2 linked regions of the Nothobranchius furzeri genome follow. The protein of the gene in region 1 purifies or fractionates together with the protein of each later gene. This does not show direct contact. Links are inferred from orthologs where the notes say so. Each region holds a gene or a part of one and is shown in the gene's direction. Other genes may lie near its edges. The genes, in order: exoc7 and exoc8.

Region 1 (4,314 bases):
GGAGCCTCATGAATCTATCTTCAGTTTGTTTTCATTTCCTAGAACTAGTTTATGTAATTGTAAAATGTTAATCAGAGCGTTTGTATGAATACATTTTGCATCCATAACAGTGTGTTCAGATTTGTAAATATGTATACAAACTATGAGAACCAACTTCTTGTCTGCAAATACATTTGTAATTTTTGCGAATGGTGTGTTTTTCTTATTAACCCATCAAAACAATCCTATTAGTCATGTTAAACACACCTGTGACCAGTGTAAATCCAAATGATCTCCCCTGGAGGGAGTCAATTTCCCTCAGCTTGTAATGCTGTAGTTAGCTGGGGTAAGCACTCCACAACTATAGTGTTTATAAAAAAAACTTTTATTGTGTTAAGATGAAGGAAAGGCATGTTTGGGTGAGTTTCGTTCTTGCTGACCCCTAAATGTCATTCAGGACTATTCAATTCTGCTTCTGGATTGCTGGTATCCAGCATGTTTTAGTTTGAACTGCTGCAGCACACCTGATTTCAATCAGCAGGTGATTAGCAGGCTTCTGCATAGCCTGATGAACTGCTGCACAGGTGATGCAATCTCTGAATCAAGTGTGTTGGAGCAGAGAAATTACTAAAACATGCTGGATACCGGCCCTCCAGACCCGGAATTGAATATCCCAGCTATAGGTTTTTATTTGGAAATTTTACAGGAGTAGCAAATAAGATAATGTAATGTTATGAATGTAGTTCTCGGTTGTTTTTCTACTCTTCCACTTTCATAATAATATACCAAAAAGAATAAAAACAAACACAATTTAATTGAAATAAATAGGCTAATATTTAGAATCAAAGTGAAGTTCCGTTATTACTCCACTGGAGGTCGACAACTCGTTCACTGCAGTTTCATTAAAACGGTTATACTTTTATTTGCTGGACTCGCTCTAAATGATTTGCTGTTAATAATTAGTGTAAAGACATGTTTCCTAATTCAAGTATCGTGGTTTAAATTCAATTCAGATACCGGAAAAGACTAACACGCCTCACCGGATACTTTCTAAACATGCCTTCAAAATAAACTCAAACATTTATGATGTTTACAAGTAAACAAATTAAACTACAAACAAATTGCGAAACCTTAACACCATTAAACATACTCAAATTTCTAATGTTCAGTTTTACATTTAATAGCTCAAGGCTTTAAAAATATCGGATGAAAGCTAAGTGCTCCCCTGCCGAAACCTTTCTATGTAGTGTACCCCGGAGTTTTATCTGATATAAATAGACACAGATATTTAGATCTAGAGTCAATATTTGATGTCAAATGCTCAGTAAAATGCATTTTCCGATCTGATCTCCAAGTGTTGATTTATTCTGAAATGACAGCCGGAAGTTACGGCTGTTGGGGCTGTCCAACCTAGTTTGTGATTGCTACCTTTAGCTTTTAGGAACTGTGGCTTTTGCTAGTTTTTTTTAATGACCTAAACAGGTCTGTAATCGCTCATTCCTCCTTGGAGACAGCCCTTTGACGGGAACTAACTTCAGGATGATTCCTACTGAGGACGCGTCCGCCAGGAAGCGGGAGATTGAGGAGAAACTGAAGCAGGTCAGACTCCGATGGACAGGAAGGGGCTTTATTCTGCCCAATTCGGTGCTTAAAACGAACAATAACAGAGTCCAGACACCAGCTGAGAGCAAACTCTGATCGTTCTTAGTGTTTTCAGACTGTTTGTGGTGAGCTGTTGATTTTCTGTGGGATGTTACAGGAGCAGGAGACGCTGTCATTCATCCGAGAGAACCTGGAGAAGAGCGATCAGCTGACCAAAGGCATGGTAAGAAAACAACACAACATCCGGGTCACCTAACGAACAAACGTTTCAAAAGTTACCAATAAAAAATTATAAGGTCAAAGGTCAGTCTAGGTTTCAAGGGACACGTTTCGTTTAATATACAGTTATTAAAGCGACCAATCAAATAAAATCCCGTTTAAAAATTAAAGCAGAAAACATAAAAAAAGATAAACATTTAAGATTGAAAGTTGAAAATAGTGACTTTACATGTGTCTGAAATGTTTCAATGGATGTTGTTTATTTGAAACTGCTATTTAATCGTAAATTGTTAGTTTTTTGTCTGTTGAAACCTTTTTATTATTTTGTATTTTATTTATCTGAAGCCCACTTTGACTAAACTAAGACAATTGTTTCCGTTCATGTGGGACACTGCTAAGAGTTTATTATATATTATATATAAGTATTTATGGTTGTAATCTAAACTCGATTTCTAATTTTATTATACATGAATCTATGACTTTTTTTTTCAATAAAAGCACAAACTATCTGTTAGGTTCCAATGATTTAAAGGGATTTTGTTCTAAACACAAGTTTTCTTTTGTCTGAACCGAACTAGAAGCCCTATATTTATATTCTCAGTGTTTTGAACCTTTTGTTATTTTCTTTCTCATCCTGAAAGGTTTCCATCCTGTCATCGTTTGAGAGCCGCCTAATGCAGCTGGAGAACTCCATCATCCCGGTCCACAAGCAGACAGAGAACCTGCAGCGACTGCAGGACAATGTGGACAAAACTCTTTCCTGCATGGATCACGTCATTAGTTATTACCACGTGGCCAAAGACACTGACAGGATCATTCGAGAGGGGTGAGGACTGTCTCTGGAAACATTAAATGGTTCTGCTACTGGTATTGAGTCATAACGTGTGTGTGCGTGTGCGTGCGTGCGCTTGTTGTGTCTCAGACCTGCAGGCAGACTGGACGAGTATCTCGCTTGTATCGCAAAGATCCAGAAAGCTGTGGAATACTTTCAGGACAACCACCCTGACAGCCCTGAGCTCAACACAGTGGTACGATCTCATCCTGAATCTGTTTGTCCTGCTACTAGGACACATTTGACTGAATCCTCTCATTGGTGCTAAAATAATTTATTCTGGTGGTGGAAAAAAACAGCCGAAAGTCCAAATCAAAAATAGAGTATGACCTTCAGAACTCCTGAGAAACTGTTGATCAAGATAACTTTAAAGGGAACATAACTTTTTTTCTTAAATTATAACAGTTCTTTGGTTGATACCAAATATGTTTATGAAGTTTTTTTGCACCAAATCCCTCTTACGTTAAGTGATTTCAGTAGTTTTATTCTTGACAGTTTTAGTATCTTCCAGAGTGAGCCATTACGTTGCTTTAGGAAAACAAGCTGTAATTGGCCACGCCCACCCATCCCACTCACTCAGGCTGCTATTAGCTGAGAAGCTTCGATATCCAGGAAAGGATCAGAGTAACCCCTACTGCTCAATGGAAGCATCAGCACTGCAGAAGAGCAGCAGAGCGTCACTGCTTCAAATAAAACCCATTCAAATCTATGGGGGTGATTCAAACCAGCCGCGACTCGGCCATTTTCAGATGCATCTCAGAAGTGGCACACCGCACCGCTAAAGATGGGATCGTGTTCTATTTTTGCCGCGAGCCGCTTCCGGGATGCAACAATTAATGTAGTGCTAGACAGGAAATCACACACGATTTCAGTGTAAAACCCCAGTAATTTTCAAAATAAATGTATATTGCAGCGATGCGACTTCACATTTATGTAGATTACATCAATACAAGCGACCCAGCGGCTTATTTACTCCCTGCATCATTCCAGAAGTGCAGCTGTGTGTTTTTTATGGCTTTTGTCCTGGCAGTTGAGAGGAACAACATCATATATGTCAACAAACGTGATTTCCTTCTTTTTGGTTTAATGGCGGACGACATAAACTTGAGGGATTTTGTGATCTCGCGAGTTAAGCAAGGAGGATGGTGGAAGTCTCGAGGGATTTTGTGATTCCGCTGGTTGAGCGAGGAGCACAGCAGAGAAGCCGCTTTGCAGCTGATACTCTCCCGGTATGCTCTGGAGTGCAGCAGTTGTTGCAAGTAAGTCTTTCTGCTGCTGCTCCGTGCCACAGATGCTTCCAGTGTGCAGTAGGGGTAAGCCACTGGTCCTGCAGCAGCAGTTCTCTCTTGCACATGAGGGGTAGTTCTAATCTACTTTCCCTGTTTGTGACATCACAATTGGGGGATTTTTGAAACAGCTTTTTTTAGGCACTTCATTTTTTAAACCAAACGCTGACAGAAAAGAGATGGATGGATTTTTCATGTTTAGAGTGTTCATTTACAGTTCAGTTCATTTTTATTTCAAAGATTTCACACATGTATCATTACAAAATATAATTCCATTATTTGTTTGAGAAGGAGTAGGCAGAAGTATTTACTTATTTGTCCCTACCCCCAAGTTTTACCTCTTATTCATTTAATTTTCTTTCAGTCTTAAATTAAACAAACAACATATGAAAAAAA
Region 2 (4,264 bases), on another chromosome or scaffold:
TTTGTGTCAGATATTTAGTGGTACCCATTTGTTTAATCTTTTACCTTATTTTTCTTCAATAATGATGTTTTTCCAAGCATCTCGCGCTTTGTGGCTACCATATTTGAATCCCAGTAAAGCCAACAGTGTTTATAAACATCCCTGCTGTAGGAAATCTGGTGAACAAACAAAACTTACAGTGTCATTCTGGGGCTCCACTTCACCTCGACTCCGCTCAGTTTCCCCCAGAAGAACAGGCTATTAAACTCCAGAAACATGGCCCTCACATCTGGGTTTGGGTCCAGCATCTCCCAGGACTCATCCACGATGCTCAGGGGTTTCTCAGGCTCGTGACCCGGCTTCCAGGAGGGGACAGCAGCGCTGCCACCTCCGGCTGCTTCCACTTTCCGTCTCTTACTGCTTTGTTCGAAGTAATTATCCTCGAATCTATTTGATGAGGTTAATGACGTCTCGTACTCATTATCGAACTGCTCCTGTAATTTAATGGCAAGCAGGAAATCCGCATCCATGACATCAGAAGGCAGCTGTGCTAGCTTGTTAGCTGACTTGCTAATGTAAATAGCACGAAGTTCTGGAACAAACGACGTCTGCAGCCTAATTATAAAATCAACCTTTCAGAGAAACATCGGTAAAAGGACTGAAGTCATGACTTTGAAAGATGAATCTCATCTTCTTGTCAGCCAAAGGTATCTGTAATAATAGTCGGTCTGTCCACAGCTCGCGCCAAACAGCAGGTTTGCTACATGTACTACATTACAACGAGTCTCTTTCCGTATGAACTTCTAAATAAAAAACTACTTCAAACTTAATTTCGTGTTTGATTTGGCTTTCCCCGCTTAGTTTTGTATCTTATTTTAATCAGCAGATGACTAAAATTAGCTTGTTTAAACGCTGTTGAAAATCTGTAATGTTTCTGCAGCTACCGTAAACTTCCGGTAGGTAAATAGTTGGACAACAAAACACCTATTCCGGGTGTTGTTCAATAGCCCAGTAATCAGTAACAACTGCAAAATAACAACACACAAAAAGCAAAATGAGTAAATAAATAAACAGAAGCTTTAAAATAAAAATAAAACATTGTTTGGTTTACCTGAAAGATCAATAACAATTTTGTTCTGAGTTTTTGTTGATCATCCTTTTTGTTCTCCCTTCTCGTGACGTTCATGTGACGTTGACAACCCGGGTGTTGGAGAAGCCAGATCCTTTTGGGGTGTTGACCTGTTTTCAGCTTCCTGTGTTTGTTGACGTGGATATGAAGGCGCTCGTTCTCTGTTTGCGTTTCTCGTCAGTTTGTTAACAGTTTTGCTTAATAAGGAAACACGCAGACAACCAAAGATGTCGGAAACCGGGAACCGACTTCGGAAGCTGCTGGAATCGCCCAACTTCGATCCACAGAACTACGTCAAGCAGCTGTCACAGCAGTCGGATGGCGACAGAGACCTTCAGGAGCATCGTCAGAAAATTCAAACTCTGGCTGATGAAACGGCCCAAAACCTCAAGAAGAACGTGTACAAGAACTACAGACAGTTCATCGAAACGGCCAAGGAGATCTCCTTCCTGGAGAGCGAGATGTACCAGCTGAGCCACATCCTCACCGAGCAGAAGAGCATCATGGAGAGCATCACTCAGGCCTTACTGTCCACAGACAAGGACGAGACCTCCAAAGAGATGCAGGCAGCGTTCCCCAAAGAGACAGAGGACCTGAAGCAGAGGACTCTCACCTCACTGCTGGAGAAGGTGGAAGGAGCTAAAAACATCATGGACACCCCAGGGAGACACCTGGTCTACAATGGAGACCTCGTGGAGTTTGATGTGGACAACATGTCCCCCATCCAGAAGGCTCATGCTTTCCTGATGAATGACTGCCTGTTGATTGCCACCTGGCTGCCTAACCGCAGAGGCACAGTGAAGTATAAATACAATGCCCTGTATGATCTGGAGAGCTTTGCTGTGGTCAACGTAAAGGACAACCCTCCCATGAAGGACATGTTCAAGATTCTCATGTTCCCAGACAGCCGCATCTTCCAGGTGGAAAACAGCAAAGTCAAGAAGGAGTGGCTGGAGATCCTGGATGAAACCAAGAAAAAGAAAGCCTCCCAGGACAAACACAAGAAAGAGGAGGAGGTCCCCACCTCTCCCGTGCGAGCCGAAGTGTCCAACAACCCTTTTGATGTGGATGACGACGAGCCGGCAGATGCCGAGGAGAGTGTGGACCTCAGTCTCGAGTGGATCCAGGAGCTGCCCGAGGACCTGGATGTGTGCATCGCTCAGAGAGACTTTGAGGGTGCAGTGGACCTGCTGGACAAGCTGAACGAGTATCTCAAAGACCAGCCTGCGACCCAGACGGTGAAAGAGCTGAAGGCGAAGGTGGATGAGCGTGTGCGGCAGCTGACTGAGGTCTTGGTGTTTGAGCTGTCTCCTGATCGGTCGCTTCGTGGTGGACCTAAAGCGACCCGGCGGGCCGTGTCCCAGCTCATCAGATTAGGTCTTTATTTGTATTAATAAGATCTCACAGACCATTAAAATGTTGATTTCCCAAAACCAGTAAACATTTCAACACAAAGCCAGAGTAGTCCTTGGAGAATCCATGCCTGTAACAATTTAAAGTTATATTTCCAACAGTTGATGATGTCATTTCTGTGTTTCAGGTCAGTCCACCAAGGCTTGCGAGCTGTTCCTGAAGAACCGCGCCGCGGCTGTCCAGACGGCCATCCGGCAGCTCCGCATCGAAGGAGCCACGCTGCTCTACATCCACAAACTCTGCAACATTTTCTTCACCAGCCTGCTGGAAACTGCCAAGGAGTTTGAGACGGACTTTGCGGGGAACACGGGCTGCTACTCTGCCTTTGTGGTCTGGTCCAGATCGGCCATGACGATGTTTGTGGACGCGTTTAGCAAACAGGTCAGCAGAGGCTCAGCGATGTCCCTAACATGAGTCAAGAAATATGTTTCGATCATTATTCTTGATAAAAAAAAAATCAAGATCAATTATTGTTCCAATTATTTCAGAAAATGATTCAAAACGGCCAATTTTCTGTTTTCCAGGTGTTTGACAGCAAGGAGAGCCTGTCGACAGCAGCAGAGTGCGTTAAAGTGGCCAAGGAGCACTGTCAGCAGCTGACGGAGATCGGCCTGGATCAGACGTTCACGCTGCAGTCGCTGCTGGTCAAAGACGTCAAGGCAGCCCTGCTGAGCTACAAGAACATCATCATTGAGGCCACAAAACACCGGAACTCTGAGGAGATGTGGAGGAGGATGAACTTGATGACCCCTGAGGCTTTAACTAAGCTCAAGGTCGAACAGCCTTCCTTAATTCCCAATTTTGTGTTTGTTTCTTTTGTTTGAAGAAGAAAACTAAAGAAAATGCGGGTGTTGAGCAGCATCTAAGGCTTTTCTCTTCGTCTTGCAGGATGAGATGCGTAGCTGTGGGATTAGTTTCCAGCAGTACACGGGCGATGACTGCTGGGTGAACTTGAGCTACACCATCGTGGCCTTCACCAAGCAGATGATGAGCTTCCTGGAAGAGGGTCTGAAGCTCTACTTCCCCGAGCTGCACATGGTGCTGCTGGAGAGCCTGAGGGAGATCATCCTGGTGGCCGTGCAGCACGTCGACTACAGCCTGCGCTGTGAGCAGGACCCCGAGAAGAAGGCTTTCGTCCTGCAGAACGCCACCTTCCTCCACGACACCGTGCTGCCAGTGGTGGAGCGGCGGTTTGAGGAGGGTGTGGGGAAACCGGCCAAACAGCTGCGGGACCTGAGGAAGAGCACGAGGCCGGTGCGGATCAACCCAGAGAGCACCACATCCTTAGTCTGAGGCCGACAGGAGCTTCGACGGCTCGTTTAACAAACCGCGTGAGACTGAAACGGCGGCCGGTGGCCACTCCCCCCTTCCCTCCCTGTCATTTCACCTCCCCCCTCAGACCCGATCCACAACACTAACTACTGGGTGTTTAGATGCTGCAGGAAGGAAATGATGGTAAAATGAAAGAGTCAGTGATGACACAGTCGGACGTTTTATTTAAAGTTAAATTTTCCTGCTGCAGCTTGTTTAGTTCTCAGTTCTTCGGGTTAATAATCCATCATACAAAACGCTTCAGTCCAATGAAAGAATAAACCGACCTCTGCTGGTGTTTGACCTCGTTTACGTGAATATTTTATCTTACAAGGGATTCCTTATGTTAGCAAAACATCTGGTTTTAGGAACGTTTAAACGCGTCAAAATGATTGTATTTTTATTGTCACGTAAAGCTTAAACACACGAGCA

The links.
Region 2: the proteins of exoc7 (region 1) and exoc8 purify together in Homo sapiens (affinity purification with mass spectrometry; 4 studies listed by BioGRID and IntAct, counting the BioPlex papers as one, with this or other methods). This does not show direct contact. The link is inferred for Nothobranchius furzeri from reciprocal best matches to the Homo sapiens genes EXOC7 and EXOC8.

Annotation. Positions count from the first base shown.
Region 1 is NC_091756.1:53,832,303-53,836,616, reverse strand, and holds the start of exoc7 (exocyst complex component 7), read left to right. Parts: upstream 1-1,382; 5' UTR 1,383-1,518; coding exon 1,519-1,578; intron 1,579-1,738; coding exon 1,739-1,804; intron 1,805-2,441; coding exon 2,442-2,626; intron 2,627-2,722; coding exon 2,723-2,828; intron 2,829-4,314. UniProt on the Homo sapiens protein: Component of the exocyst complex involved in the docking of exocytic vesicles with fusion sites on the plasma membrane.
Region 2 is NC_091742.1:10,762,523-10,766,786, forward strand, and holds exoc8 (exocyst complex component 8), read left to right. Parts: upstream 1-1,186; 5' UTR 1,187-1,335; coding exon 1,336-2,485; intron 2,486-2,648; coding exon 2,649-2,902; intron 2,903-3,045; coding exon 3,046-3,294; intron 3,295-3,409; coding exon 3,410-3,814; 3' UTR 3,815-4,135; downstream 4,136-4,264. Other genes in the region: DNA-dependent metalloprotease SPRTN, read right to left, coding at 178-509. UniProt on the Homo sapiens protein: Component of the exocyst complex involved in the docking of exocytic vesicles with fusion sites on the plasma membrane.